Linked DNA regions of Notamacropus eugenii. The protein of the gene in region 2 interacts with the protein of the main gene of each other region in a pairwise test. Links are inferred from orthologs where the notes say so. Each region holds a gene or a part of one and is shown on either strand. Other genes may lie near its edges.

Region 1 (7,728 bases), on a different chromosome or scaffold from region 2:
GATTGAAGTTCTGGGGAGAAATAGTGAGCTTTGTGATACCAGTATGTGACTTTGAGATAGGTTGGGGACATTGAGTTTGAAATGTTTTTATAGGTAATTGGTGTTGTGGAGGCTAATGCTCAGGCAAGAGACTGGGGATGGATATATAGATTTGGGAGTCATCTGCATATAAATGATCATTTAACCCTGGGAGCTGGTTAAGGCTCAGGAGGATGAGTATAGAGAGACTAGGCGGCCAGTGGAGAGCTCTGGGAAACACCCACAGTTGGGGGGCGTGATGAAGCGGCCTAGGAGACTGCAGAGTGGTCAGGAGAGAGTGGAGTCAGGAAGAGAGGAAAAGGGCCACAGGAGTCCCCAGTCAGCGCCAAGGCAGGAAGGATGAGTTCATCCGAGGCCTATCAGTGTTCTAGGAGCACCAAGTCCGGTTTTGTACCTCTTATGAGCAGAGTTGTCTTGGCCAACTTACTTCTCCATACCATGTATCTCTACTTTCTGTTAATAATTCCTGAACTTTTCGCCTCCTGGAGGTGGAAGTAGAGAAAGCCCTTTGTACTTCCCCAGCTTTGCAGTCAAGGAGTCGGTAACTTGAGGCCTAAAGGGAGGCTTCTCTAATGTTGATCAAAAAACAAAGAGAAATCAAAGAAAACCAAAGAGAATTTTAGAAAATTAGCTGAAATCACATCAAAAGGTATCAAAGTGAAGATACAGGGGGGGAAAATGCTCTGAACAACTGAAACTGCTCGAGTGCCAAAGTGATTCAGTGGAACAAGAAATATTCCAGTGACAGATCATCATAAAAGGACATATTACCTACTAAAGGAATGAAGCAAGATTAACCCTGGTAAGAACACCCCAAGACTGGAAGACCAGAAGAGTTTATAGAAAACAAATGGTGGGTTGGGAGGCAGGGAGGTGGGGATAGAATTGACTTTGGACTTGGGCACTTGGCATCCATGGACTGGCTGTGACATGGCAAACCCATGTCACATTCTCCTTTCTGGGTCTTAGCTTCATTATTCCATAAGATGGAGAGTGGTGTTTTGTAAATCATGTAAAAGTGAGTTCAGGGTCACACTACATCCATAGATCAGAACATAGTGACCTCCTAGCTATCTGTTTGGAGGGGGTGGGAGGGGTGGGGGGAGAAGTGCCTTTCAGATTAACAGAGCAGAGTACAGGTAGCATGGCCCAGTGGGAAGTACACAGCCTAGAGTCAGGGCCTGGTTTCACCACTTTATTAGCTGTGTGTAAGGTTTTGGGACAAGTCACTTAACCTCTGAGTGTCTGATTCCTGTAATGCCAAACTATGAGACTCCTCCTCTCTTGAGGGCTGGCTCTCTAATGTAATGCATTTTAATATATATTTCAGGGAAGGTCAGCAGGGAAAAGACTGCAGATTGGGATCAGGAGTGGAGCCTAGTCTCCTGGTTTCTTGTGTCGTCTTTAGGTGAAACACAAACTCAGTTCCGTTTCTGTGTCAGTAAAGTGGGGACAATGCCACTCATCCATCTGCAGCACTTGTGAGCCATGGTGGATGCAGCATTCCTTAGGGAGTTAGCTAGCATAATAGGACTGATTGTGCCGAATGTACTGCTGGCCAGATCCTGAGGCCCAGAGCCTAGTCCTTTGCTGGTACAGCAGAGTTTGTCCTATTTCCTGACTATATCTGTGTTGAAAGATGCCACCGTCCAAAGGAATTGTACTGATGATGTGAGCTTTCTTTCACTACTAACTCATATTCATGGACAAGTTGGAGAGCTGTCTGGAGGCCTGAGAGTAATTGACCATGGTCACTGGGCCAGTTATGTGCCAGAGGCGCGTGGATTCAGGTTTGCAGGTTGGCCCTGTGCTCTCCACCAAGCTTTGCCTCCATACCCACAGGCAGCTCAGAGAGACTGGGTCTCCCAGGAAGTTATTGCTCTGTGTGCCCCAAGGTCTGTCCTGGAAGCAGGGGCCACTTTGCCTTATGCTGAAATCACAGACACCTCCGTCCCCCTGCCTCCTCTAGGGGTTACTAGTAAGAGGGCTTACACCATCTCTGCAAAATGTCGATAACACTTGAGTACTGACTCTCACTGGGTTGATGGGGAGAAAGTGCTTTAAAGGTAACTCCTGCTTTGGGGACTTTGTTAACCTCCAAGCACTACTTAATCGGGAGCACTTTCCATGTACTTTGGCCTTCCGTGCTCCCCATCCCCCCATTGCTGCTCTCTGCTTCCTGCCCCCATCCCCTACTCCCTGAGGTTAGGTAATAGTAATGGGTAAAGGGTAAGTGTAGCCTCTAGCCCAGACTGAATCCCCTTGTAGTCAGGCCAGCCATGTTTACTGAAAATCTCCTGGGGAGGTGGCCCTTTATTCATCAGTGAAATTCCTGTATAAATAGAATATTTCTTAGTATTCTGCTGTTGCCCCTTTCAGCTTTGTCTTCCCCCGGTTTCAGTCTGTGTGTGGCCAGTAGCCATAGTCCCATTTTATGCCTGGAGAAACAGGTTAATTAACTTGCCTGAAATTACAGTGCCTTGCTTGGCCCTTCTCCAGATCTGTATCTGGAGGTTTTGGGTCACTGGTGTTTCCCAAGGTCATACAGCCTAACTTCTTCCTCCCTGGCTCCCCTTACAGCTCCATACTAATTCTTTGAGATAGTCCATAATAATTAGGAATCAATTCATTTGGACTCTGAAAGGGGGAATCTTGTTTTTGACTTTTCAGCTCTCCGGTTGACCTTGTGAAACTTCCTCTTTCAAGTCACCAGATGTTTGAAATCTTATCTAGCCCAAAGTTATAGGGGTGTTGCCCTTTGAGCAGGAAGGTCGGCCTGGTTTTAAGCTCAGGTCTGCATTAAAATTCAAGTGTCCCCAGGGCTTCTCTCATCTCAGTTAAAGGAGGGAGAAATGTATCCCAGAGGCTAAATCCTGGTGACTCGATGTTAGGAAGCTAACCTGTCACAAGACATGGGAAGGCTGGAGGATCTGTTGTTATCAGAGACCCTTTCCTCCTCAACCCCAGAAACTGGGACCAGGAGAATCTCTCCACTAGGTCTCTTTGTAGTTGGGGGACAGAGCCCCCCAATTATGGCATCTGTGTTTCCAGGATAAGACCCAGGCAGTGAGTACAGTGTTCTGGTGCTCTCTGTTAGAAATCTCACAAATGAGATTAGGATTTTTAGTTTGCAGGCAGTGAAAATTCAGACTTGGAAGCTATCGGTCATACTGTTACATACATTTTAGTTTGAATTGTCTAAGCAGGTTCCGTAAGGGGTGGAGAGGACTTGGAGGCGGAGTAACTATGGAAATTCCGCCTTACGGGGAAAGTTAAAAATAGCCCCAACCGACACCTGTCCTCCAGGCCATAGCCAGGAAGGCACGTGTTTGCAACTGCCTTCCCAGGCCTCCAGGCTCAGGCTCCATCCTGACCATTCAACTGAAGGAAGACCAGAATAAGGCCCTCTTCTCCTGTGGTGTGTGTCCTGGTTCTTACGTTGGGACGTTATGGGCCTTAAACTCTGGGAGAACAGTGCTGGCAGCCAGGAATTATAAGTGCTTACCATGTTCCTGTGCTAAGTGTACAAGCAACCCCCCCCCCCCCCCCCCCCCAAGGAGCTTATATTCTAATTTAAAGAATACTTGAGCAGCTGGAGTGGCAGTGATGGGAAGGCACCCCAGAGTTATTAACCAGGGTCAATGTGGATAATCAAAGTGCTTTTGGAGGCATTGTGGTGAGGAGTGAAAGATCCGCTAAAATGCCCATGAATGAGGTGCCCAGAGTGCTTCAGTGGTTCTTTTCTTGGTGCTGGCAGACAGCCGGGGGTCTGTGAGCCCCAGGAAGGACTTCAGCATGCAGGCTTATTTAGGAAGCATCTCAGTTGTGCCAAAGTAGTGACCAACATGTGGTGACCAGGGACTGGCCCTGGTGAACCCAGGGATCCTGGAGACGTGAGGCCTCTTCGATTCCAGAGGCTAAACTTGAATATCATAGAATTGGTTTCCTTTTCTAATTAAAACTCCAGCATAGTATCTCTGTGGAAGTATTTGCTTGGATCATTATCAACTGTACACATGGTTGTCCTCACCAGAGTGTTGCATATCATCTTTCTCACCCAAACACTTTTCCCCAAGAATAAGCATCTATGCTGTGAGTAGCAGAGAGGCTTCTTGGCATGCTTTCTCTTTTTTATGCTTCTTCCCCGTTTGACCCAATATTGCCTTCTGTGCCAGGGCAGTTGACCAGCCTATTCTCTGTTTCTTTATGAGAAGTAACCATGCAGCTCCTTACAGATGCAACCAGGATGCTTGGTGGAATGGGGTGGCCTACACCTCAGGAGACAAGAAAGGGTCTTCTGGGTATTAGATAAAAACTTTCATGTAAAGAAGGGGAGAGCTTTACTTCCTATCACAGATGTACTCATTCTCACCCCTACCCTCACCTTGTCAACTGTGTCATAAGGTCTACTTATCTCCCTCTGGAGCAGACAGGGTGAGGCAAGAGGCTTGGGCTTGCTGGTATCCGGATAGTGCCCATATGATCTGTTCAGAAGTCTAAGGACAGGCAGGAAGGAGGCAGCTGGCCCTCTAGGTTGGCCGTGACATGAGGTCAGGAGGGTGGCGGGAAGGTCTGAGCAGAAACAATAGCCTGGGTTGACTGGAGAGAACGCTGTCTTGACTGGTAAGTTGTCACTCACTGGCAGTTTTATGTGTTGTCTTCTGCTTTTACCTGCAGGGGAGCAATGGCAGGGACTGGTGAGCGCCAGGGAAAAAGCAAGAAGGAAGACAATGGCATTGGTACCGCCATCGATTTTGTGCTCTCCAATGCCCGGCTGGTGCTGGGGGTGGGCGGAGCTGCCATGCTGGGGATTGCTACCTTAGCTGTCAAACGGGTGAGTGAGGCTGATTAGAGGTGATGCTGGCACCAGGCAGAATCCAGGCTTCTCCCTATGGAGATTCAGATCCCTCCACAGCCTGGAGCTGCTTTGCTTTTCCAAACCTAGCACATACCCTGCCCTTGATAACAACAAATAGTAGGGACTCTCCTGAGCTCCCCTGTGTCCCACACCTAAGGGGTTCTCTCTGTTCTTTGCCTGCTAAATTCCTCTCCATCCTGAGAAATCCCTAGGATCCCCTGTGGTACTCTGTTCAGAATCTTTAATATGTGGTCATATATTATTGTGTCTTATGGTATCTGTTGGCATGTTGCTGCCCTAGAGTACAAGGACCACGAGGTTCCCTGAGGAATCCTATCCTTACTTTATTCACCCACAGTGTTTTAGCACACAGTAGGAATTTAAGTAAATGTTCAGACAAGTGAGGAATAGTGCAGGCTCTGATGAATGCCCTGGGTTGTTCACCCTCCTTTCTCACGTCTTGGTGGTGGGGGTGTTGTAGATGTATGACCGGGCCATCAGTGCCCCCAGCAGCCCCACTCGCCTGAGCCATTCAGGGAAAAGAAGCTGGGAGGAGCCGAGTTGGATGGGATCCTCACGGTTACTGCATCAGGACATGAAGACCAATTTGAGCAGGTCCCTGCAGACTCTGCCCACTGAGCCCTCAGCCTTTGACGCAGGTGAGAGTCGACCATGGATGGATCCCAGGGGAGAACAGGGTGGACCAGCATTGACAGGGGTTCTCATGTGGATTTTTTTTACCTTCCTTGGCAGATGGGTTCTGCCCCCCCAGACCCAAACCAGCCACCAAGAAGAGCCAGGTAGACTTGAAGAAGTCACGGCTCCGCCTGTCCCTACAGGAGAAGCTGTTTGCTTATTATCGGAACCGGGCAGCCATCCCCCCTGGTGAGCAGGCCCGGGCCAAGCAGGCTGCTGTGGACATATGTGCTGAGCTCCGGAGCTTCCTCCGAGCCAAGCTGCCAGACATGCCCCTGCGAGACATGTACCTGAGTGGCAGCCTTTATGATGACTTGCAGGTAATGGTCTTTTCACTGATGGAGCAGTTTCTGACCTTGTCCTGTTCTCTGATAATCCTGGTCATTCAGACCGAAGATGTCTCAGGCTTGGGAGAGAATAGAATCCTCTGCATCATAAGCCCTGCCTCTCCAGGACAGCATTATGACCTTCCCCATTCCCTTTTATTTGAGGGGAGCTTCCTTTTAAATCAGCATACCATTATTGGGTTTTTTGTGTGTAAAACCATGGGTTAGGCCCTGAGGAAGCTACCAAGGTAAGAGGGAGCTTCTGTATTTGTGTGTGCGCGGACAGTGGGGCTGACCTTGACTGCTCTAAGGGCTGAGTGGTGAGGGATACTCCCTCTGCTGTATCTGGTTCAGACAGAACCTTTGTTACACAGATAAGGCAAGGTCAGTAAGAAAGTTTGTAGGGTGAGGTTAGGAATGCCAGCACAGGCAGGACCTGAGACTCTGGAGTCTCCTCCAGAGTTCCCTAGTGTCCCCTTTGTGCCCTCTGGCATTCCACTGTTAGCAGGTAGGAGCAGTGGAGGCTGGTCTGGGCAGGAGGGAGTCAAGTTTCTTTGACTCTGTGTGGGACACGTTTCAGTATCACACCCTCTTCCCTGTGTGCTTTCTCTTGCAGGTCGTGACTGCTGACCACATTCAGCTCATCGTGCCTCTGGTCTTAGAGCAGAACCTGTGGTCCTGCATCCCTGGGGAGGACACCATCATGAACGTCCCTGGCTTCTTCCTGGTGCGGCGTGAGAACCCAGAGTACTTTCCCCGGGGCAGCAGTTACTGGGACCGCTGTGTGGTTGGTGGTTACCTCTCGCCCAAGGCTGTGGCAGAGACGTTTGAGAAGGTGGTGGCGGGCTCCATTAACTGGCCTGCCATTGGGTCCCTCTTGGACTGCGTGATCCGCCCAGCTCCACCCCCTGAGGCCTTGACCCTGGAAGTGCAGTATGAGCAAAACCGGCGCCTTGTCATTGACTTTCTGCCCTCAGTGACCCTGGGGGACACAGTCCTTGTGGCCAGGCCCCACCGGCTGGCCCAGTATGATAACTTGTGGAGGCTGAGCCTGCGGCCTGCAGAGACTGCCCGCCTCCGGGCATTGGACCAGGGTGACGGGGGCTGTCGAGCGCTGTGCCTCAAGATCCTTAAGGCTATATGCAAGTCCAGCCCGGCCTTGGGCCACCTCACTGCCAGTCAGCTCACAAATGTCATTCTCCACTTGGCCCAAGAGGAGACTGACTGGTCTCAGGACATGCTTGCTGACCGCTTTCTGCAGGCGCTCAGGGCCTTGATTGGCTACTTGGAGGCTGGAGTCCTGCCTAGTGCCCTGAACCCCAAGGTGAACCTATTTTCAGAGCTTACCCCTGGAGAAATAGATGAATTGGGGTACACTCTTTATTGCTCATTGTCTGAGCCAGAGGTCCTGTTGCAGACATAACGGAGGGGAAATCCGCAGTGGGTATTAGGTGGGCAGGCCTTGGGTATGCCTGCTCCGAGGTGGCCCCTCTTGGGTTCCTTGGTGCCTCCATTCTTGCTGGTCATCCATCACCTGCCAATTAGAATGGCCTTTTCTTGCCCTGCTCTTTTTTTTTCTCTCACTAAGCACTGTGCCCCCAGTTTTTTTTTCACTGCCCCTTCAGCAAGGCCAACTTCCTGAGTGCATCAGGAAGGGTGGGGAGCAAGGTGAGGGACCAAGCTGATAAGTTACTTGGTAACTTGTGTCAAGTTCACCCCTTCAGCTACCCAACCTGGCTCTACTTTCAGCCTCTTTTTGTGTGTCTCACTATTGCCTCTTTGTCCATCTGGTTTCTTTCTGCTCTGGTC
Region 2 (7,838 bases):
ATAACAACTATGGGAGCTAAGTGCTATTAATATCCCCAGTTTACAAAAGAGGAAACTGAGTCAGTGATTTATCCAGTCACACAGCTAATGTGTCTGAAGCTGGATTTGAACTCAGGTGTTTCTGACTCCAGAACCAGCACTCTAACCACTATACCACCTAGCTGAACTATGTCATTCTGAGAACCAATAAAATCAAATCTTTCCATGTGGCCCAAATCTACTTTTCCAGCTTCAATTTCCAATGTACAGTCAAACAGAATTCATTCACTGGATAAGTATGCTTTCTTAGAACTTAAGAACTCCAGCTAAATCTAATCCAACATTCATTAATTAAACTAAAGCAGTCATCAAGGTAGTGAAGGAGCCAGTATGTTGTACTTGAAGTCAGGAAGATCTGAGTTCAAATCCTGTCTCAAATACTTCCTAGCTGTGTGACTTTGGGCAAGTCACTTGTAACCTTTGTCCATCTCAGTTCCCTCATCTGTAAAATGAGTGGATTGTAATAGCACCTCAAATAGTGGTCATACAGATCAAATGAGATAATATGTACATAAATATGTATATATATAAACTTATATGTATACATATGTAAAACATTTTGCACTATGAAAATTGCTAGCTATTATTAAGCCCCTATTGTGAAAGGAAAGAGAAAGATGATAGTTTGAGGGAATAGTAGATTGTAAGGGTTTTTTAAGACTTGGGGAGACCTGGGCATATTTGCAGGGAGCAGGGACGAAACCAGTAGATACAGATATTGAAGCTTCAAGAAACAGGGGATAATTGTGGGAACAATTTGCCAGAAGAGACAGGAGGGGACAGGAGCAAAAGTTTATACTGAAGGGTTAACTTTGACGAGAATTATCATGCTCTTTTCATTAAAGACTAGACTAACGGAGGAGAAATTGGCTATGATGACAAAAGATTTTGAGATGTAGAGAAAAGGGAAAGAGAGAACTCACATAGAGTGGCCTCTATTTTTCTCAGTAAAGCATAAGAGATCTGCTGACAAGGTAATGCGATGGACGGTAGAGGAAGCCTGAGGAGAAAAGAAATGGTCTGGAGACTTTGACAGAGAATGAATTAGCGTTTTAATAATTCATCTATGGCCTTAATAGCAAAGAAACAAATTTCTCTCTGCACCTTTGTGGATTTTTCTCTGAATTTTTTTCTTTGCCACAGGAAGGAAACTCAAAAGAATAAATCTAGCAGCACCCTCATTTTACCTAAGAGACAATGAGACAGTTAAGTTCTTATGGTAAAAAGCCTGTGGACTGGAAGTTCAGCATGTCAGCAAGGTGATATGGCTGCTCCCAAACCAAATTGGGTCATGGAGTTAGGACCAGAAGGGACCTCATCTAGTTCAAATCCTTCATTTTAGAAATGAGGACACTTGGGTCTCAGGAAAGTGAAGTTGGCTTGTCTAAGGTCATACCAAGAGCAAATGAAAGAGTCAGGGTTTGAACTGCAGACTTCTGATACTGTATCCAAGATGCTTCCCCTCCATAATATACAGACCTGATGAAACCTAGGGCTTTGGTAGCTACTGTAACAGTATCTAAAACAAAGGAGGCGTAGCCCTGCTCTGTTGTACACTCCTTACTTGATGAAGGAGATTGAATAAACTCCCATAATTCCAAGATAGATCCCAAGAACTCAGATCATTCTCCCCTCCTGCAAGTATGCACAAAATTCAGGAGTCTACTATTCAGGTCTATGTGTTTTCCAACCTTGAATTACCTCCAATTCTTTGTGCGTGGAGTTGATTTGTGACTCCCTCCCTATCATCCCCTTAACTCCCAGCTTACACTTCCAGCTGTAAATCTCTCCCAGAGAACTCAGTACTACATCCTCTGCCCCCTCTGGGAACATAATTTTACTTTCCCTGAATCCAGCTCGACTGGTTCTAACTTGCTGCCCCTCCTACGCTTCCAGCACCAGCATTAGCTGGTTGGGAATGAATATAGTATCAGTTCTTTGAACTAAACAGATCATCCCTTGTCCTTCATCCTGCTCTGGGTCTCGCCTCCCCCTTCCTAATCTAACACAACAAAGCCCTGGGTCCTTTTCTTACCTCAGGGTACAGAGGCCTGCTGGGTACTCTTATTATTTTACTCTTTTAACCTGTGGCCCATGAATTTTTTATCCCCACATATTCTCATGAACCTATCACTTTTTATGCTCTGGGATGATGATACAGACAAATGAGGATAAGAGTCTTGCCCCCTTTCACCCAGAAAGACCTAGATAGCATAAACAGGGTATGTAGAAATTTGTAGGCCCTCCCCATAAGTACAGCTGACATTTATAGAGAGAGATTGAAGAATCACCATGCTCTTTCTAAGCATTATCTTATTTAATCCTTATAACTGTCCTCAGCAGTAAGCACTACGTTTTACTGAAGAGAAAACAGGATCAGAGAGGTGAATTTGGTCTCACACATGGTCTCGCAGTCAGAAGTATCAGAGGTAGATTTAGAGCCCAGGTTTTCTTGACCCCACAATTAATACACTTTTCAATATATCTTGTCAAACAGTGAAAAAAGCAATTGACAAGCATTTGTTAAGGACCTGCTATGTGCTAGGTACTAGAAATAGAAAGGCAAAAATGAAACAGTCCTTGCTCTCCAGGAACTAACATTTTATTCAGGGAAATTTGTACAAAGAAAATTGAAAGGAGAGTGCTGACTCATTATCAGAAGATCAGAAAAGGCCTCATTTTTGAGGTTGATCTTGAAATCCCATAAATTGTTAGTACAGTGGAATCCTACCATGTGGGATTTAACCTAAATCCTACCTTAACAAGCTTATATGAGAGGTATTTAAATACCCCTTTCCCTTTAGATCTGCCATGTCTTTGACTGCACCACAAGGGTAGGGATGGCTGGGAGAGACAGGACCATAGAGATGAAGAAGCAATGGAATGAGGAAGAGGGATAGGGAAAAATAAACTATTCAGTTGTGCTTATATGATTTGTGGGTGCCACATGTCTGTAGGCTCCCAGAAAAGGGTTATCTTGCTTAATGAAGAGAATATTGGACTTGGAAGCAGAAAACCCCAATCCAAACCTCTTCTCTCCAACCATGACTAGCTGCATGACCAAAGATAATTCACTTTAACCTCTGAGCCTCAGTTTCCTCATCTGAAAAATGGATATAATACCTACAGTACTTCACTGGGTCATTGGGTGGAAAGTGCTTACAAACGTGTTGTTGTCTTGGAGAATTTACCCTTTTCAATATTTTAGTTTCAACCAGGACTGAATAATCTACTTGATTAAGGAGACTGAATAAACTCCCATAATTCCAAGACAGATCCCAAGGACTCAGACCATTCTCCCCTCCTGCGAGTATGCACAAAATTCAGGAGTCCTCCTTGAATTATTGGGGAAATGCTCATGTGTCTCCTGGATGAAGTTGACAGTATTCATCTCACAGTGAAAATTATCCTGACTCTCCCTCATGTGGGTAGGGAAAGGCAACCATGCCTTTTCACAACGCTCCCATAGTACAGCTGTGAGGGACAGAATGTGAGCCCAGTCAGGCATTTGTCCCATTCCCTAGCCTTCCAAAGCTGTGTTAGGCTTTCCTTCGGAAAAGCTGTTGCAGTTTTCCTTTCACATGGTATATATTTGACATGGTTTATTAGGAACTCTTTCAAAAGGATTCAGGGCACAGGAAGAAGGGCAGGGTTTTGGTTCTGATACGAACACAGTTCTCCTAGGGCTAGGTTTCTTAACATTTTGTGACACAGAGCCATCTCAGCCTGGTGAAACCTATGGCTCTCTTCCCAGGGGGAAAAACTTTAAATAACTGAATGCCAAATTTCAGTTCATTTGAAAATGCCAAAGACTTAGTGGTGAGAGAACCTCATTTTTGGAGTCTCCAGTAACTGTGGTTTGTGGAGGAGTTGGGGCCTTCCTTATCTACAGTGGCACCTGAAGGGTCTCATCTCATTGAGCCCTTCCCCTGGAGCAGGGTTGGGCCAGTGCTCTGGAGCTCTTGGACTCACCGGTCTATCCCTGGCATTTGTTGGACAGCTGTTACCTCTGGAGGTGGGCAGGGGATGCCGGTTGGCCCTTCTCCACCAGGGTTGCTCCCTACATGATGGCTGTAGTATACCAGAGGATGGCAGGGGACTTACAGATTCTTTTATCAGTCTTCCATCCCATACATGAACAACTGAGACAGATCAGGGAGGAAGGATGGGGGCGGGGGGCGGTTGGAGAATGCCCTTCCTCTTCTACAGGGTGATGGAAGGGCCTGCCTAGAACTTCTGGGCCTGGTGATCAGGGGGAGGAAGAGGGGCAGAAGACGACTTGCCCTAATTGGGTGCAGCAGGAGAGAGGGAGACAGACAGACAAAGACAGAAACACAGACACACACCCAGAGAGAACCACAGACGGACAGACGGACGCAGAGCTAGAGAGGGAGCATGCGTGCGTGGCCCGAGCCCGGGGCTAGGCCAGGGGGGAGCAGGGACAGAGCGCCCCTGGCCGCAGGGGGGGCAGACGCCCACCAGGGGGTGGCAGGTGTTGGGAAGGGAGGGGGCGCGGCTCCCCCAGACTCGCTCCTGCCCACAGCCCTTCGCCCTCTCTCCCGAGCCTCAGGGGTCCATCCTTAGGGCCAGGGGCGGCCCGAGATGAAGGGAGAACCTCAGGTGCGGGCCGGGCTCGGGGGCCTCCAGGCCATCCCTCCCTAGAGAAGTCTCCGCCCAATGTCGAGGCGGGGGGAGGGGCGGGGGGAAGGGCGGGGGGAGAGCTGGGCTCGCGCCGCCCGGCCGGAGGGGGAGGGGCGCAGCGCGGTGCAAGGTGACGCCGTCTCCTAGCAACCAGCCTCGGCTCGCGGTCACGTGCACAGGCCGTGGGTCAGGTGGCCAGGCCGCCCGAGCCGGACCTAGGGGGAGGAGGCGGGGCCGGGAAAGTTTGTTTCCCAACTTTCCGGGTAGAGTCCGATCATCCGCAGCCGCAGCCGCAGCCGCAGCCCCGCCGCCGCCCCCTTCTCCGCCGTCCGGTCCCGGCCCCGGCTTGGCCTGGGATGGAGCTGCCCGCCGTGAACCTCAAGGTAGGGCCGCGGGTGGAGCGGGGCGGGCCCGGGGACGGAGGCCCGAGAGGGACAAAGGGGTGCCCGGGGCGGAGGGGCGTGGAGGAGAAGAGGGGGCCGAGAGGAGGGAGAGGACGGGGACGGGAAGGGGCTGAGAGATCGACCGAACGGGGAAACTGAGGCCCGCCCGGGGTCACCGAGGCTGGGATGCCCGCAGCTGGGTCAGACCCGCTCCAAGTCGTGTGCCTTGCGAGCCAGGGAGGGCCACTGAGGAGAGAGGAGGCGGAGGGGGCATGGGGCCGGGAGGAGAGGGGAGCCCGGGGATCAAGGGGGGCAAGGGAGGGCCGCCGAGGAGAGAGGAGGCGGAGGGGGCGTGGGGCCGGGAGGAGAGGGGAGCCCGGGGATCAAGGGGGGCAAGGGAGGGCCGCCGAGGAGAGAGGAGGCGGAGGGGGCGTGGGGCCGGGAGGAGAGGGGAGCCCGGGGATCAAGGGGGGCAAGGGAGGGCCGCCGAGGAGAGAGGAGGCGGAGGGGGCGTGGGGCCGGGAGGAGAGGGGAGCCCGGGGATCAAGGGGGACAAGGGAGGCGCCTGGAGAAGTTATCCAGGCCTAGAAAACCGGCCCCACCTGAGCCTGGGGAGCATGTGCTCCAAGCGACACCCCCCCCCCCCCATCCAATCCGCCTGGGAGCATATAGATATAGATATCTATAGATAGATATATGTACACACGACCTCGCAGCATGTTTTACCCAGTTTACTGAAGACTGAAGAGCGAATGAGGAGGAGACGGCAGAAGTTTGGGGTGTCGCTTAAGAATTTGGCAGCTTTGGCATTCATTTGTACTTTGCTTTAAAAAAACTGTATAAGGTAAATTTTAGGGGAATTTGTAACCTGTGACAGGCTGCTTCTGGGTAAGTTTTCTTGCTGTCGCAGAAATCTTTAGTAAAACTTCCATCTTTTCTCTTCAAACATTCATGGTGTCAGAAAGTGGGATTTAAACCCTACACCTCCCTAAGGAGACCAGATTCATGAACCATCACATTTACGTATATATGTATGTGTATATATGTACATATGTATGTGTATATATATTTATCAAGGTGGATAAGCATGTTGAACTTGGAGTCAGAAAGATGTGTCCTGCCTCAAACACTAGCCTTGTGATCATGGGCAGGTCACTTAACTTCCCTGGACCTCAGTTAGGCCATCTGCAAAAATGGGTCCTGTGTATGAGGTGTAGCACCCACTTCCGGGCATTTGTTGTGAGTCTCAAAGAAGGTCATCTAGCTAAAGGGCTAGGTCATAGATTTGGAGTTGTTAGAACTAGGGACCAGGGATTAGAGGGAGGAGAGCTTTAGGAGGGAGAGAGGGGACCTGGAGCTGAGGGCAGGCTAACCAGGCCAGTTCCCTTATATCAGATAAAGGACAAGAAGGAGAGAGGATCAGGGAACTGAGGACAGGAGGGTTTTGAGGAAAGAGGGAGACAAAAGGGTAAAGGATGAGGAAGATGGAAGTCTTAGGGAATGTGGGGGCTGGAGAGGTGCGGAGACAGCAGGTGGGGTCTGAAAGAATGAGGACAAAGGGAGGAAGGGGGCCAGGGGATGGAAGTCTACGCTGGGGAGGGCTAAGGGCCTCCTTAGCAGGAGAGGAGATGGGGAGTGGGGCAGCTGGACAAGGCAGAGTTCTTAGGGGTGAGGGAACCTAGAAACTGAGGAGGAGGAAGCCCAGTGGGCAGATGGGAGAGAGTCCCTGGGAGTGAGGGGTAGAAAAGCTTAGAATGAGTTATGGGGGAGGGGGACAGCCTGGGGGAGGCAGGGTGTGGTTGGAGAGGAGGCCCTCAGGTTTTCCCTGACCAGCCCCCATTCCTGGGATACTTCTCCTCTCCATCTCCATCTTCTCCCTGGCTTCCTCCAAGACCCAGCTAACATTCCAGCATCTGGAGGAAGCCTTTCCCCATCCTGTCTCAGTCTAGCCCCTTCCCTGTGTTGACCCTCCCCACATGTCCTGGACTTAGCTCCTGAGCATGGAGGTTTGCATGTTATTTTAGATGTTAGGCTGCGAGCCCCTTGGCCAGGGCCTGGTGTTTTCCTTCCTTTGGATCTCCAATGCTTAGCCCAGTGCCTGGCACAGAGGAGGCCCTCACTATATGCTTGTTGACTGACTGCAGTGGAATCATGAGGGAGAGGAGGAATGGAGAATTAGGAGGGAAGTGATTGGGTGGAGGAGATAGAGTTGACAGAACTGAGAAACCAGGCTATGGGTTTCTATGGGAATAAGAAAGAGATCGACTGAATGGGGAAACTGAGCACAGAGCGGGTTAAACGGCTCACCCAGGGTCACCGAGGCTGGAAAATGCCTGCAGCTGGGCATATAGGATAAGGAAGAGCAGATGGGGTGGCTGAAAGGCTAAGGGACAAAAGGAAAACTGAGGAGCAGAGGGGGAACCAGGAGGGAAGCCATCAGGGGACAGAGGGATGCCATCCAGGTGCAGAGGGAGGAAGATTCTGGAGCTTAGCACCAGGCCTGGTACATGGCAGGCACTTAAATACTTGTTGACTTCTTGACGATTTGGATATAAGTGGAAGGACACAGATGGAGGGAAGAAGGAACTGAGACTACTGGAGGCTCGATGGGCTTGTTTAGAAAGAAAAGGGCTGAGTACCCTGTGATCACAGGCCTGGGTACTTGTCCTAGGCTCCTCTAACCTACAGACCTCCCATGGGGACTTTCTGAAGAAGAAGAAGGGCTGGGGATTGCAAAAAGGAGAGGACCCAGCCCATCCCAGCAACCCCACCACT
Region 3 (7,740 bases), on a different chromosome or scaffold from region 2:
CGCAGTAAATTAAGCTGATCTTGAAAGCATTTGACAACATGGCTGAAAACATCATGCTAAAAAACATAGGAGCGAGCATATAGCCTTGTTTCACTCCACTGGTGACTGGGAAGGCATGAGAGCATTGTTCACTATCCAGAACCTGGGCAAACAAGCCATCATGAAATTGACATAAAATATTGATGAACTTCTCTGGGCAACCAAATTTTGACATAATTTTCCATAAGCCCTCACGACTAATAGTGTCAAAGATCTTGGTCAGATCTACAAATGTTGTGTACAGACCTCTGTTCTGCTCCTGGCATTTCTCTTGGAGCTGTTGGGCAGCAAACACCATATCAACTGTTCCTCGGCCCTTTCCGAAGCCACATTGGCTCTCAGGGAAATGACCATCTTCCAGGTGAAGGTTCAGCCTGTCAAGGAGGACTCTGGCAAGAATCTTCCCAGCAATGACTAAGAGACTACCAGACTTGGCAGGGAGTCCTAGGGAGGAATGGAGTTGGAAACAGTAGCAGCAATGGTCATTTGCTACTGAAGACTTGTGCATCACATGACCTTCTATTTATGTGAACACAATAAAACTTTGTGGACGCACCCTGGCAACAAACCCTGGCATCTAATAGACTATGTGATTGTAAGAAGAGACAGACAGGATGTGACAGTGAGAATTGATCACAGACTTATCCTCTCCTAGCTAAATATTCACATTCAACAAAAGGGGTATCCCCAAGGCAAAATGACTATCGAATTCATGTCAGCAAATTAGAGCTCATCTCTGAGTGAAAACAGTTTGTGACTAATTTGGAGGGAAAGTTGTGTTAACACACAGTTGGCAACAGTGGGGCAGAAAGGGAGTGGGCAGCTTTCAGAGATTTGGTGTATAGTACTGTATTTGCTCATCTGGGTCAGAACACTCGCAAACACCAAGACTGGTTTGATGAAAATGATAGGGAAATTCAGAAACTGCTAAACAAAAAACGAGAACTTCACAAGGTTTACCAGCAGGACAGTTCATTCATCTCTAAGAAGGCAGCATTTAATTCCATCAAAACTGAAGTACACGCAAAGCTTAGAAAGATGCAGGATTCTTGGCTCGGCAGGAAGGCAAATGAAATTCAGTTTTATGCTGACAGTAACAATCCAAAACACTTTTGTGATGCCCTGAAGGTTATTTATGGGACAAAGATCTACGATTCATTTCAACTACTCAGTGCTGATGGAAGCACATTGATTAGTGATAAGGACATGATCTTAGGGAGATCATGGGCTGAACACTTCCATAAGGTTCTCAACAGACCATCATCAATCAATGCTGAAGCCAGTGACCATTTACCTCAGGTTGAAATCAATCCCTCCCTAACCGAAGAAGTAGTAGGCTCCTTTCCTGGGACAAAACACATGGTGCTGATTCTCTTCCAACTGAGATTTACAAGGTAGGGGATTCATTGCTCATACAAAAGTTGACTGAAATTTTCCAGAAATATGGCAAGAGGAGTTTATCCTCCAGGAGTTCAAGGATGCCTCCACTGTCTATCTCTATAAAGGTAAAGAGAATAGATTGTCCTATAACAATTACAAGGAAGGGTGTCTTCTCAGATTCCTTAAGAGTCTAAGCCAATGCTCAGATTCCTTAAAAGTCTGGCCAATGTGGTAGATTTTTAGAATTATGTTCACCCAGTTGGTGTTCTAATAAAACTTGTCATTGGCTGAAAGAAGGTTTGGGATAGAGTTTATTTGGGCAGGACTCACTTGTCGCTATTTTGGGATCCTAGCACCCCTGAAACTCAACTAGTATTGTAACTTTTATTACATTGGTATGATCCAGCTGTGAATACTGAATATCCTTTCCACTATTTAAGTTGTTCTTTATCTCTTTAAGAAGTGTTTGTTTTATAACTGTATTGATTCAAGTATTGGGTGTTCTTTGGTAGAATGACTCCCAAATATTTAAATTTCGTAATTATTTTGAACGAAATTTCTCTTTCTATTTTTGCTTTCTGGATTTTTCCTCCTATACAGAAATGCTCTTGATTTTTTGAGTTTATTTGGAAGCCTGCAACTTTATTGAAATCATACATTGTTTTTCAATAGTTTGTACTGTTTGCCTCTTCAGCCCATATGGCTTTAACTATCATCCTTCTGCAGATGAGTTCAAGGTCAATATATCCAGTCCCAGTTTCTACCCTAAATTCCAGCCATGAATAACTAATTGCCCAATGGACATTTCAAATCAGTTGTCCCAAAAATATCTTGAACTCAACATCCCCAAAGTTAAAATCATCTTTTCCACTCTTCCAAATTTCCCTTCTTTCTGTCAAAGGTACCATTATCCTTCCAGTCTCATGGGTTTGTAATTTCAGCATCATCCTCAACTTTTCACTCTCCTTTACTCTATATATCCAATCAGTTGTAAAATCATGCCATTTTTACCATCACATCTCTTACATCTGACCCAATTTCTCACTCATACAACTACCAACGTTTGTTCAGATTCTAATCACCTCTCACCTAGATTATTACAGCAGCCTCAATCCTCTCCCCACTCCTGTCCATCTTCCAAACCCATAGCCCAAGTAATTTCCTTATTCTATTTGACTCTCCTACTCAACCAGCTCCAGTGGTTTCCTATTGCCAATAGGATAAAAATATAAACTTCTCTAGACTCACCAGACATTTATCCCCCTGCTACACCATGAGATCCAGCCCAACTGGAATTTTAATTGTTCCTCACACACAATGTCTTATCTTCCTGCCTTTGCACTGGTTGTCTGACCCACATGTCTAGAATGTATTTTCTCTCTTCTTAACTCTGCCAATTAGAGACCCTTACTTCCTTTAAGAGGCAGTTCAAGCACCTTCTGCATAAAGCCTTTCTTGACTCCCTCAATCATTACTGCTCAAGTTCCCAAAGTACCTTGGATTTAACTACTTTGTATATATTTGTACTTATTCATGTTATATATGTTATCTATTTCTACATGCATTTGTTCTCTCCCTCTTTGGAATGTATGCTACAACTTTGTAAATGGAAAAAATAACAAAAGATTCAAAATTAAATGCTAACCTTGTCCCCAAATAAAAGATATGAGAAAGCAACTTTTTTGTAGAAGTTGTCAGGACTATGGGTGTGGAACACTGCATATAATGTCAGACTTCTTTCCTTGTCCTGATTGGTTTAACTGTTATTTTTTTCTCTTTTTAATTCTGCACTATAAGTAATGGCTCTCTGAGAGATGAAGGACATACACTAAAAAGTACAGATTATGAAAAACAAAAAAAACCAATAACAATATATACATATTTTTGAAAGTTGGCTCTTTGGGACTCAGATACACTCTGGCCTTTGCATGGGGTCAGGATTTGATCTCAGTATAACAGACTCTCACCATAGAAGTAAGGATCCTCAGAGGTTGGTCCCAACCCTTTACCTGAACAGTAATTTTCCCCCACATTCCTAATGGAGGGACAAGCTTGTCTCAGAAATTTGCTTTTCACATTGATAATAGTGGTCCAAGTTATTGCTGTCCACTTCTTTTACCTGTAAAGTGCCTGGCATGGTTGGCCTTACAATACCCACCTAAAAAGAAGAGACAGAGTTGATAAACCATCACATTAGGGGAGGGAAATATCAGTCTGGAGCATAGGGTAAGAGTAAAACTTTTTTTATTTTGTGGACCTGACAGGTAGGGGCTCTGGAACCTCTCCCCCCGCCCCCAACTCTCCCTGAACTTTCCATACGGTCAAGTCTCCGTCGGTCACCTGAGGCATCCCAGTCATCCCCTCATCTGGCCTTTCACTATGGCCTACACCCAATCTCCCAGTTCTCTGTTGCCCAGCTCCCCACTGTCTGTTACCTCTGGTTCACCCCCAGCCACCTCCCACCCTTGAGTCTATCTAGACCCCATTCTCTTGGTCTAGGTCCCTGCTTTCAGGCTCCAGTCACTCCAGCCTACCGGCTCCTGCCATCAAAATCCTCCCTAGACCCCGCTCCTTCGGTCACCCCAGCCTACTGGCCACTTCTAGAGCCTGATCCTTCCCACGGTCTTCCTGTACATAAGCTCCAGCACGCCTCCAAGAAATTACCAGTACTTGGATCCCTTAAGAGTCTAGCCTGGATGGCGAATCTTCAGAATCACACCCTTCTACCTGCGCTCTAACAAACCTTATCTTTGGCTGAAAGCTTGGGGCCAATTCATTCAGGCAGGCCCTGCCCGTCTCATCTCGGGGTCCCAGCACCCCTAAACCTCAACAGACCCAACTTGGGACGGAATTCCCAGTAACCGTCCCCATCCGGGGCAAGGAGAGGCTCCGCTTCCTTTCTGGGACCCTCTCCTCCTCTGCGTCACCTCCCCAGGTCCCCGGCGTCCCCCACCTTCCCAGGGAGCCCTCCCAGTTCTCCTCAATGCCGGCGCCTGCCTTCTGGGCCTCCCCAATTTGTCCCAGTGGTTTCAGGTTTTCTTCTCGTTAGACTACACGTGCCTTGAGGACAGGGGCTGCTGTTCGGCCTTTTTCTGTGTCACTGTCCAGACCACCGAGGGATTCAGAGCCGTGTGGTCCCGGGGGAGCCGAACCTTGGGCCCGGAGCCGCGCCCAAGGCGCGTCCGAGGCGCCTCCAGCACCGGCGCTCGGGGCCGGCCTTTAGCCATGAAGTCACCAAGCCCCGACTCCTCCTACTGCCACGTGCTCCAGGCCTAGTTCTCGAGAGCCCGGAGGTGACGTCACAGACGCGTTTCATCACAACGACCACTTCCGCCGTAGGAGGAAGCGCAGGCATTCCAAGCCGGAATCCCCACGGGCTGCCGCGGTCCTTCGGGCCGCTCTTTGAATCCTGTGCCTTTAACGCCGAAGACACGCCCCCGCAGCCCCCGGGGACGCCTCGCCCCGGCCGGGAATGCCCGTTAGGGAGGGGGCGTGGCCTCTGGGTGATTGGCCGTTCGAGGTCTGTTTTGGAACGTGCGGGACGGGAAGGCATGCCTCTGATTGGGCGCATAGGTAGTCCGTCCGGCCCGAGCCGGGCGTCAGGGTTCCGCCCCCTTGGCTTCGAATTTGCGGCTGCGCGCTGGGAGGAGAAGGTTGGAGGTTAGAGAGGGGGCCGGCCCTGGGTCTAGGAGTCGGGGGAGAGGAGGAGGAGGACGAGGGACTCACCGTGGGCCGGGCCTTCTCTTCCCAGGTGATGCGGTGAAGCGGCAGTGCAGGTAGGAAGGGCCTTCCGCTGTCCGAGGGGCCCCAAAGGCCGACGTCCGGGGCCTTTCCGGGGCGCGGGGGAGCGTGTGGAGGTGCGAGGAGGGAGAGGAGCCCTTCGCCCAGCAGGGGGTCCTTGTCCCGCACCGGGGCCCAGGGGGAGGGGAGAAGGGAGCCTCCGCGGTGACTGCGCCTGCGCCGGCCCCGCCGGAGCCCGAGGCTGAGAAGGATGCTCCCACCGCCCTCCCCGCCCCTTACACCAGGGGCGCCCCCGGTGCCTGCGGGGATCCGACTTGACCGGGGCGGGGCACGCGTCCTAGGTGGGCCCCGAGGCCCTCCTGCCCTGGAAAGGATAGGAGGTAAGCCGGCATCGGAGGTAGAGGAAGAGGGATCTTGGGGAGATCGCAGATCCAGAGCTGGGACGTTCAGAGAGGTCAAGGGACCTGCCCAAGGTCACAGAGCGAGGCCGCCCCTCTTTAGCCACGACTTCCGGGGTGCTAGCCTGCAAAGCCTGGGCTGGGAAGCCTCCCTGGACGGACCAGGGCCGGGTCTGCGAATTACGGACGTGGAGGTCTGCCTGGGGGAGCGGGCAGAGGTTTGGGTGGGGGCGGAGGAGGGGTGAGAGGAGTTGGGAGTGGTCCAGGTGCGACTTGGGGCTGGGGGTCAGGAATCAATGCCCCCCATTCTGTTGTGGTTCTTAGGTGAGTCCTAGGTAATGGACTTTAGAGAGCCGGTAATCCGGAGCCTGGTTTTGCTATATAGGATCCATCCATTTTGTAGTAAGGGAAATTCAGTCCAGAGAAGGGGCGGCAAACTGCCCAAGGTCAGGCAGCTACTTGTACTCCTAGCAAAGCTGGGAGGAGTTTAGTCCTTTACACCAAAGAGGGCCCCCTTAGTTGTTTGGAGTGTTTGCTAGAGTCAGCTTTGTTTTTAACTGGGAGGGTCAGAACTCCTGTACTTCCCACGCTGACTGGTTCCTCTTGCCCAGCAGCTGAATTGTGGGCCTGCGGCTGAGCTGTTTAGACTCACTGTGGGGAACTGGATACTGACGGCCCGATTGTCCTCATGAACCCCAGGGGGACATTAAGAACCCTACTTGGGCTTAGCCTGGCTCCCTCTTCCCCAGCCTTACCTGCTGGGAATGGGAGTGGCCTGGAAGATCCTTTCTGAGGATACTGGAGCTTTCCTGATAAGTTCTCACCCTCTGAAGTACAGTCTGTGTGCCTGTGAGAGAGGGCCCCTTGGGGTGAGTGACTGTTCTCCAGAGTGGCTGATACAGCTCTAGGATTACCGGCCAACCACTGTCCACCAGTCTCTGAAAATACAGGTCATGTTTGCACAATTATCCTCTGCAGAAAACTAGAATGTCTTAGCTTCAAGGAACCATCTAGCCTAACCCCTTCTTTATACAGAGAAGGAAATTAAGGCACCTCAGAGTGGGAAATGACTTGTTTGTGGCCACACAGTTAGTAGTAGAAACTGCAATCCAGGTCTCCTGACTCTTGGTTTGTTGTTTTTTGCACTATTCTGGAGTCTCCTTTAAAGAACACTAGAGCACTTCCTAGGTTTAGACTTCTTGGTGCAGTGACTGGAATCAGAAAACCTGAGTTCCAGTCCCACCTCAGATCCTTAATACCTTTTTGTTGTGACCCTTTAAAAAGTTAGAGAGACATAATTTCTGGGTAATTTAATCATTTTATTAATAAGGCTAGCAGGTTATTAATAAAAGAATGGCCATTTGTCCATCCCTCTTCTACATTTCAGAGAGGAGGTGTTCCCCAGGGGTGCCTGCTCAACCCTGATTGGTTAATCAAATGGGAGGTAGGCTATCTTGGGGTACTTGACCTAGGTCACTCAAATCTTGGTCAAAGAGACATTAGTTAATATCACCTGTCTTGATAATAGGGAGAGTCAACATTTTCTCTGGACGTATTTGTAAGCTAACATAATAAGCAGGAATGCATCCTTTAGCCCAAACTTAGAATTTCTTTTACTGTCTGATTAGATCTTGGCCTGGATAAATCTCTTAAGAGAAATTTCCCACACTGGTTGATTTCTAGATGAGGAAGTAGAAAAGGGGAAGAACTTTGGTCCTAATATTATAATTATTAAAGTATAAGAGAGAAATATTCATTTCTCACATTGTCCTTGAAGTAAATAACATAATCTCCCTTACTTTCCAATCTGTAAAATGAAGAGTTTTGGACTGGAAGCTGCTTAGGTCCCTTCCAGCTCCAAGTCTATAAACGTTTGACCTCATCCTGCTACAGTGAGAAAAATGGACTAAGGGATGGAACGTAGGAGCAGTTCTGTGAGAGGGTATTAGCATTGGACCAAAGACCCCAGTGAGTACTTCTAAGTACTGTATTTGTCCATTTTAGCCCCACCTTTTCTCTGATTTTGGAATCTTGTGAGAAGCCTCCAAGCAAAAAATCCTATTTTATTTTACCATCTGCCTGGTAAAAAAGTAGAGTTGATACTATTTCATTTGGCTCCAGCGTAGAGAAGTACAGCCCAGGGTAGGTGTGCTCTTGTCTCTCTGTGAATTTGATATTAACA
Region 4 (7,489 bases), on a different chromosome or scaffold from region 2:
AGTTTACTTTATCTCCCTCTCTCCCAGCTATAGTTGTGAATCTTATTCTTATTACACTTCTGAACTAAGGAGCTAATTTTATAAACTAATTTTATAATCCATTTAATATGTAGGAAAACTGAGGCAGACAGTAAGGTTATCATCAGCTTTGGCAATGGTCATAGACACATTAAGACTGGAATAGACCCCATGGGACTGGGGAAGGAAGGAAAGAAAGAAGTAAGAAAAGAAGGAAGGAGGAAAAGAAAGAAAAGAGCTTAGATTCTTTCCATATCATAGCCTTTTGGTGTTATTTTTCAGCACTACAGTGTCAAATTTAGATTTTCTACCTCAAATAATGTGACTTAGCTTTAATTTAGTTGCTGTGCATATTTCTTATCCAAAACTGGGGGATATTTACCTAAAAAATAAAGTTTTTGCTAAAATGAAAAATATAAAGAACCATAGATATTTTTGCTGGATAACAGGTGCTATATTCTTCTAGCAGGCTCTGGATCACATAAACAAAACAATAAATTCTTGTTAATCATATGTAGAATCTATATTATAAGCCCGTTATAATACATAAGAGAATTAATATCACAATATTCAGATGACTTTGAGGTCTTGTTGATTTAGATGCGCTCACCAACAGAACAGATCATAAATCAGCCATGCCTAAGTATCCTTGGAACTCTTGTCCATTAACTTCCATAAATTTGACGTGGAGGTGATGGTGATGGTAGTGCTGAAGGTGGTTGACACAGCGTGATAGGGGCTTTCTTTACTTTCTTCTGATACTCTGAGTAAATCAGTTGGAACTTTTCACTTGTCCAACTGCTAACTTTTGCTCTCAACACATGACCAGCAAACCTTCCTTATCGATCAGGCCTAAAGCTTGTAGGAGGTTTAGAAAAATGCAGTAAGCATTAGCACAACATAAAAATTGCAATTAAATTAATAATCACTGTAGTAAATAAGAGGTTAAAAGAATCAATTAGAAAGAATATAAGGTTAAAACCCTCTGCTCTCCTTAAAGGATCAGCATGGCCAGAAAAGAAGTCGCTAGAGTGAAACAACAAGCAAGGTGAAGCTTCTATATTATTCCCACCCTCCAACCCCCAACCTGGGGCTGCACTGTGTATACCTCAGCAGCAAAGAACAAAACAGTCTCTTTGACCCTCTTAAAAGACCAGTCTGACTTATATTTAACAAAAAAAAAGTGTTCCTCTTTTCACAGTACATTTCATTGATGGCATCCTTTACTCCAATTTTTCTTTGAAGTTTTTAATTTGTAATATGTTGCAACCTGCTTATATCCACCATGTATTTCTCTATTTTCTTCTATGTAATATATATCTGTTCCAATTACCTGAGGACTATGATTTCTATGATTTGAACCACCAAAAGAACATTTGTATTAAAAAATGCACCTTTGTTTCTGGGAGAAATTTGGGGTCTACTTCTGAGAACCACCCAAGCTCAGGATGAAAGGCTCCAAGGACAGGATGGCTTCCTGGTGATGACATCTCTGGCCATGGGAACTCATGAAACAAAAGAAAAATATAAAGTGATGCTCATCCCTGGCACAGCCTTCTTTTATTTTTACATCAATCATGACACTGATAGAAAAGGGACAAAAGATGCTAAGAAATAACCTCTTGGCTCCTTACAGTTAATTATTCATCGATCCTGATTAAATGTAGAAATCATGTCTGTTCATGTAGAAGTCATGCCTACACAGTTGGGATGTTTGCAGTATTTTAAGTGACTTAATACCTTTCTAATTAAAATTCATATTTAGTGTTTCATTCTACATGGGGGATGTCAGTGGAAAACTCAGTCAATCCATCCAGTAACTTTTCAGAAAAAAACAAGCTTTCAAATACCAGACAAATGAAAAACAGATTTCAGCAGCTACATGCTGCTTCCTGAGTAACTGAAGAATGTGCCTCTTGTGGTTAAAATAAGGGATCTATTTAATATGGATGAAATACCAACACTCCAGGCATTTTCATTGACATTTCACTGTGACTTTTTGAACTTAAAATGCTGACATGAAAACCTATTTTGGTTGTTCTGCAAAGCCTGTAATCTGATTGCCAAAGTGAGGAAGAATAGGTATGGGTCTCTCCCTCCCTCCTAAAAGTTATATCTCAGGATCTACAATACAATTTATCATTTTTAAGTTTTATTTATGTATCACTTTTTCCCCAATTGTATCTCTCCCTCCTTCCACCTGGAGAGCCATCCCTACGAACAAACAAAAAGGGAGAGGCAGAATAGCATTCCTTGAAAGTTATCCAACACATCAATCAAATCTGTCAGTATATGCAGTGTTCCACATTCATAATTCACCCTTTCTGCAAAGAAAACTACATCCTGATATTTCTTCTTTGGGGCGAACTGTATAGCCTGTTACAATGACACTTTTGATTTTTGTTATTTTTCTAGCGTACATGGCTGTAATCGTTGTATATATTGTTTCCTGATTCTGTTTGCTTCACTTTACATCCGTTTATATCTTCTCAGCCTTCCCTTTACTTTTCATATTCGTCGTTCCTCTGTGTGCATAATATTCCATTGCATTCAGGTACCACAATGTGTTTAGCGTTTTTCCATTGAGTTTTTACTTTATTTCCAGTTGTTACCAAGAAGAGGCAGGTAGGTGGCGCAGCAGAGCTTGGAGTCAGAAAGGCATCCATTCAAATCCTGACTGGCATGAATAGTTTTGTGACTGTAGTCAAGTCATTTAATCTCTCAACCTCAGTTTCCTCATCTGTAAATGGATTCAAGGACCTACCTTTTCATTCTAAATCTACGATAAGTGAAAAAGTGCTTGCAACACAATTTAATTCATCTTCATTTCGCAAGTTACTTATTCCACTTTTTTCTCCTTCCAAATACATTTTCCTTACTATGGTGAGAATCGCCTTGCTAAAGCAGGGCTGAAATCATACTATTTCCACATCTCAGCTGTTTCAAAGGGGATGAGGTAGGTAAAGTATTGTTTCAAACTTTAAATTGTTATATAAATGCCACTGCAAATGAAGCCCAAGCTCTTTAGCCAGGCATTCAATACCCTCCGTTAATTTGGATCCAATTTTCATCTCTAGCCTTCTCTTTCCGGGATCTACTACTCTATGCTAGTCTTTTTCCTTCCCTTAATTTGTCACCACCTCATGGAATGGATTAGTTTAGCACATCACATTCCTAGCTGGAGCAGTGAAAATGCTAGTTCTGGGAACTGGGAAGAGATGAGAATTCTACCTAAGGATATTAGATCCTCCAGAAGCTTTCCCAAAGTAAATCTACCAAAAAATCGGAGTTTTCGGAAACATTCCCCTTGGGCCCTGCAATGTGATCCAACGGGTAAAGGGCCAGGAAAAACTCCAGACTAATATAGTCTCTCAGCCCCCCCCCCCCAATCCGAGCTCTTCGGCTCCGGGGCAGCTCTGCTTCAGGTCGCTGGCAGCAGCCTCCGAGTGACAAGCTGTTTGGTTTTAATCCTCCCCATTCTTTGCTGTACCATACATAACCCCTTTGGCCGGATGGGGCTATCCTCCCCGTGCTGCTGATGTCAGACACACGCTCGCTCTCCCACTTAGCCTGGGCAGGAGCGTACTGCAGGCTGCAGCGGGGACTCTCCAGCCCAAGTCCAGGTGGATACAAACTCCCAGGCACGCACCGAGCCCCAGGAAGGGAGAAGGGGGAGGGGGAGGCGTGGAAAAAAAAAAGGCAGCTCCTTCCCGCCCTCCCCTCCTCCAGAAACCGAGCTTGGGGGAACCTAGGAGCAAAGCAATGCTGAGCCGGGATTGTTCCTCCTTTCTACCCCAGCGCTAGCTAAACCGGGAGTTGCCTGGGGTGGGAGGGAGGGGGACTGGAAATCTTGTTTACCGCCCGAGGAGGAAAATACATCCAGCCTTTGTCTGGTGAAGTAAGCATCTCTCCTCTCTCTTCAGCTGCTATGGGCTCCTGGTGACATTAACATTTCGGAAGACTGGGGGAAAAGGGGTGGGGGGCGGGAGGCGGTGGATTGGTGGATTTGGTTTTTGGAGGGGAAGTGGGGGGAAGCTTTGTGCATTCATTTAGATTCGAAAATTTTGTATTTCCTTCCCCCTCCCCCCCCCGGGGTCGGGCAGGTCTTGATCTCAATCGCCCCCTTTTCCAGCCCCGGCTGCTAATCCCGAGCTATTTCGAGCGGGTCGCCCATCCTTTGTGATTCTGGCCACATCGCGTGGTGAGGGGGGGAACCTCTTGGGGGGAAAAAGGGAGGGGGAAACCCACGAACCCAAACCTTGACTTGCTCTCCGCGTGAGGAGGAAGGAAGCAGAAGCAGCAGCATAGCGGCGGCGGCGGCAGCTCCGAACGCTCGGGGTGTTGTTTTCTGCTCCGGGCAGCGCTTGGGTGTCTGTATGCTGGCACTCGGTCTCGCCCGTGTTTGAGAAAGCTGATCTGCCTGGGGGGCTGCCCCCCCCCAGTGCCCGCTTCGGGGGGCCTGCCTCGCCTCGGAGAGGGTGCAGATAGAACTCGAACTCGCCCTCCCGGCCGTCCCTTCTGAGGTTCGCTGCTCTGCACCAACCCCCGGGACAGCGGGAATATGCTCTTGAAGGAGTACCGGATATGCATGCCTCTGACCGTGGACGAGGTGAGTGCAGCTGCCTGGGGAGAGGGGGAAAGGGGGTACGCCGGGGTCCCGATTTCATCTACACACACCCCTTTCTCCTCCTGTCCTACAACCCTGCAGCTCCCTCAATCTTTCATATATAGTGTATTCCACATTGTCCTCCGTGGTCGCTCTCAGGAAGGCCGTGACCATTGCAAAAAATGAAAGATAGAAAGAAGAAAAAAGCCAGTAAGGAAATCCTGTTTAAACACCACCCCAGAAGGAGGGGGGGCAAGTTTGGAGTAGAAGAGAAAGGAATTCTGCTGTTTTCACTTGTCACCGTAAGGGTGTGTCGGGAGGGAAGGTCTGAGGCGCTTCCTTGCTCAAAAAAGGTCTTACGTAGGTGATGACTTGGGTGGAAGGGAAGGGGGGCAGGAATACATTTGGACTGTATCGAAAAGACTCCCCCCACCCCCGGGCTCTCGAGTGTAGACGGGCACCCCCTTTATCTTTAATTGAAAACCAAAACAAAAAGCGAAAACGAAAACCAACCCCTCCCAAATCCATCCCAAAACAAATACAAAATACTACCACTACTCAAGTTCACAGCTCCAGGCTCCTAGAAATCTGAACTGTTAGGGCGCACAAGTCAGCCTCCTGTCTTCATTCCCTCTTTAAAATGTGAGCCGCCTCACACCCTCCAGGTGCTCCCGATCGTGCCCCAGTGGGGGAGCCCTTTCTCTTCTCTCTCTGTGCCCTGGTGATTAGGAGAGGCTGGCATTCCTTACACTCATTCAGCAAAGAAGTAGGAAAACCTTTGGAAGATTTCTCACCTTCATTCCCCTCCCCCCCATCCCTCCTTTGCTCCTCTTCCTTCCTTTCCAAAAACTCTTGGGAAAAATTGGGGAATACAGATCATTGTGTGTAGCCTCCAGTCCCTAATCCTGGAAATAGTGTTGCAAGGGAAACTTTCCCTCCCCTCATTGCTCCTGGCTTGAGGATTTTGATTCTGTAGGAATTCCAGGTGGTTTCAGGGGGTCCAACTGGGCCACAGGATGGCGCCCCCAGTACACAACTTTTCTTTCTGTCTGCAGTATCTTTTTGCACCTTCCCCTCCTGGGTCCTGCTGCAGTCTTGTGGTAGTGGAGGTGCTGGCTGACATTCTTTCAAGTTCTCATTCCAACCAAAAAACAACCAAGCCTGTCTTTATTCAGAAAATGATGGGCAGATGCACTGAGTGTCTGGATCATCCAAACAGACTGTTTCTTCCTTTCTTTCTTTCCTCCTGTCTTTTGATCATTTCATAACTGGCTAGCATGTGGGGATGGGAACCAGGGAAACTTAAATAAGACCACTATTATAAGTTGTTAGGAGCTTTAGAAAGTTTGGGACAAGCATAAGTTTAAACTAGCAATCTGAATGGTTTTTTTAATGTGAATGGATTTCCATGAATGCATTCAGTCATTCAATTCAACAAATATTGGTTGTATTTAAATGTGTATCTACTGGTATAAATCACCTTGTAGGGCCCTGGATGAGAGAGGCTGATGTGGTTTACTGAAAGACTAGTGACTGCCAGCTAGGAATCCAGTCGCTCTTTCTAGCTCTAGCTCCATCACTAATTAGTTGTGTCACTGTTGGCAAGCCATAGTATCTTTCTGGGCCTCAGTTTCCTTATCTGTCAAGCAAGGGAAGTGGGATTTAGGATGATATCCAAGATCCTTTTCTGGTCTGGTATTTCTTGTCTAGATGTCCACAAATAACTACAGTATTTTACATCATATTCATGATCTTGTCATAGTTAACCTCAGAGGGTGGGTTGACTTTGGTTAGGGTCCTCAAAGAAGTTTTATGGGAAGGGGTAGCATATAATCTTTGAAAAATAGCTGAGGATTTTGATGGGCAGAGAGGGCATTCCAGAAAGAGGGAAATTCATAAAAAAAAACCTTGAAAGCAGGTAAGTACAAAGCTTGTTTAAGGAACAGTGAGTAGGTCAGTGATTAGTAAAGACTTGCTTGAGTTAATGAATGGAGCCTGGAGTTTGGATGGGGGAGGAGTGGGAGAAAAAAGGATGCATTTTCTTTCTGTCTCTGTACACTATCCCACCATGACTAATTGAGTTGATCGAAGTTATACCACTTCTAGAAAGCTAGTTAATTATTTGGTTTGTGGTGGACCTGTGTAATCAAGGGGAAGGGTTTGATATCTTTAATATTGCATGGAATAGTATGAAAAGTATAGAAAATTACTATAGTTGTGTGTGTGTGTGTGTGTGTGTTTCTGTGTGTGTGAGAGAGTGAGAAAGCCGAGAGTGCTTAGTAAAAATTCTTTCACCTTTTGCTAACATGAAATAAATGCCCAGGGCCATTTTGGGAATGTGAGCAGTTATTTTATATAGGTGGAGGCCTTTTACATACTAATTAGCAAGCTGAAAGGAACCCCTCCTTTAATGATGGATAATTAATTTGGCCTAAATAAAATATGATTCATTATTTGTAAGAGGTCAGGTTTTAAAGTAGCTTGCTTCTCTGTCTTTCAGAGTTTTAAGGGTAATTTAAAATTTCAGATGTTCCAAACTGCAAGAAGGTCCAGAACATACAGTTCAATCCTTCATTTTACTTAGGAGAGCTGGTACTTACAGAGGGATGATGTTTATGGAAGGTCACCTGACTCTTCTCTTGCAGGGCCTGGACTAGAACTTAGGTCTTTGATACCTAGTGCCAATTGTTTGTTCATTCCTTCCCTAAAGTAGTGAAGTCAGGTAGGTAGCTAAGGAGATAAAGTACTGGACCTAAAACCAGAAAGACTTGAGTTCAAATCCAGTCTCAGACACCAAACTACCTGTGTGACCCTGGGCACATTACTTAATCTGCCTACATCAGTTACCCCATCTGTAAAATGGGC

Evidence for each region.
Region 1: the proteins of AGTRAP (region 2) and MIEF1 interact in binary tests that used the Homo sapiens proteins (3 or more experiments, as listed by UniProt). The two-hybrid records come from large-scale screens. The link is inferred for Notamacropus eugenii from reciprocal best matches to the Homo sapiens genes AGTRAP and MIEF1.
Region 3: the proteins of AGTRAP (region 2) and MIEF2 interact in binary tests that used the Homo sapiens proteins (3 or more experiments, as listed by UniProt). The two-hybrid records come from large-scale screens. The link is inferred for Notamacropus eugenii from reciprocal best matches to the Homo sapiens genes AGTRAP and MIEF2.
Region 4: the proteins of AGTRAP (region 2) and PITPNC1 interact in binary tests that used the Homo sapiens proteins (3 or more experiments, as listed by UniProt). The two-hybrid records come from large-scale screens. The link is inferred for Notamacropus eugenii from reciprocal best matches to the Homo sapiens genes AGTRAP and PITPNC1.

Annotation. Positions count from the first base shown.
Region 1 is NC_092874.1:298,740,206-298,747,933, forward strand, and holds the start of MIEF1 (mitochondrial dynamics protein MIEF1), read left to right. Parts: upstream 1-4,723; coding exon 4,724-4,873; intron 4,874-5,378; coding exon 5,379-5,556; intron 5,557-5,650; coding exon 5,651-5,913; intron 5,914-6,535; coding exon 6,536-7,342; 3' UTR 7,343-7,728. UniProt on the Homo sapiens protein: Mitochondrial outer membrane protein which regulates mitochondrial fission/fusion dynamics.
Region 2 is NC_092876.1:51,143,942-51,151,779, forward strand, and holds the start of AGTRAP (type-1 angiotensin II receptor-associated protein), read left to right. Parts: upstream 1-4,823; 5' UTR 4,824-5,036; coding exon 5,037-5,063; intron 5,064-7,838. UniProt on the Homo sapiens protein: Appears to be a negative regulator of type-1 angiotensin II receptor-mediated signaling by regulating receptor internalization as well as mechanism of receptor desensitization such as phosphorylation.
Region 3 is NC_092874.1:335,796,890-335,804,629, forward strand, and holds the start of MIEF2 (mitochondrial dynamics protein MID49), read left to right. Parts: upstream 1-4,738; 5' UTR 4,739-4,970; coding exon 4,971-5,079; intron 5,080-5,170; coding exon 5,171-5,195; intron 5,196-5,387; exon of another isoform or gene 5,388-5,540; intron 5,541-7,740. UniProt on the Homo sapiens protein: Mitochondrial outer membrane protein involved in the regulation of mitochondrial organization.
Region 4 is NC_092873.1:328,567,232-328,574,720, reverse strand, and holds the start of PITPNC1 (cytoplasmic phosphatidylinositol transfer protein 1), read left to right. Parts: upstream 1-4,488; 5' UTR 4,489-4,579; coding exon of another isoform or gene 4,580-4,627; intron 4,628-7,489.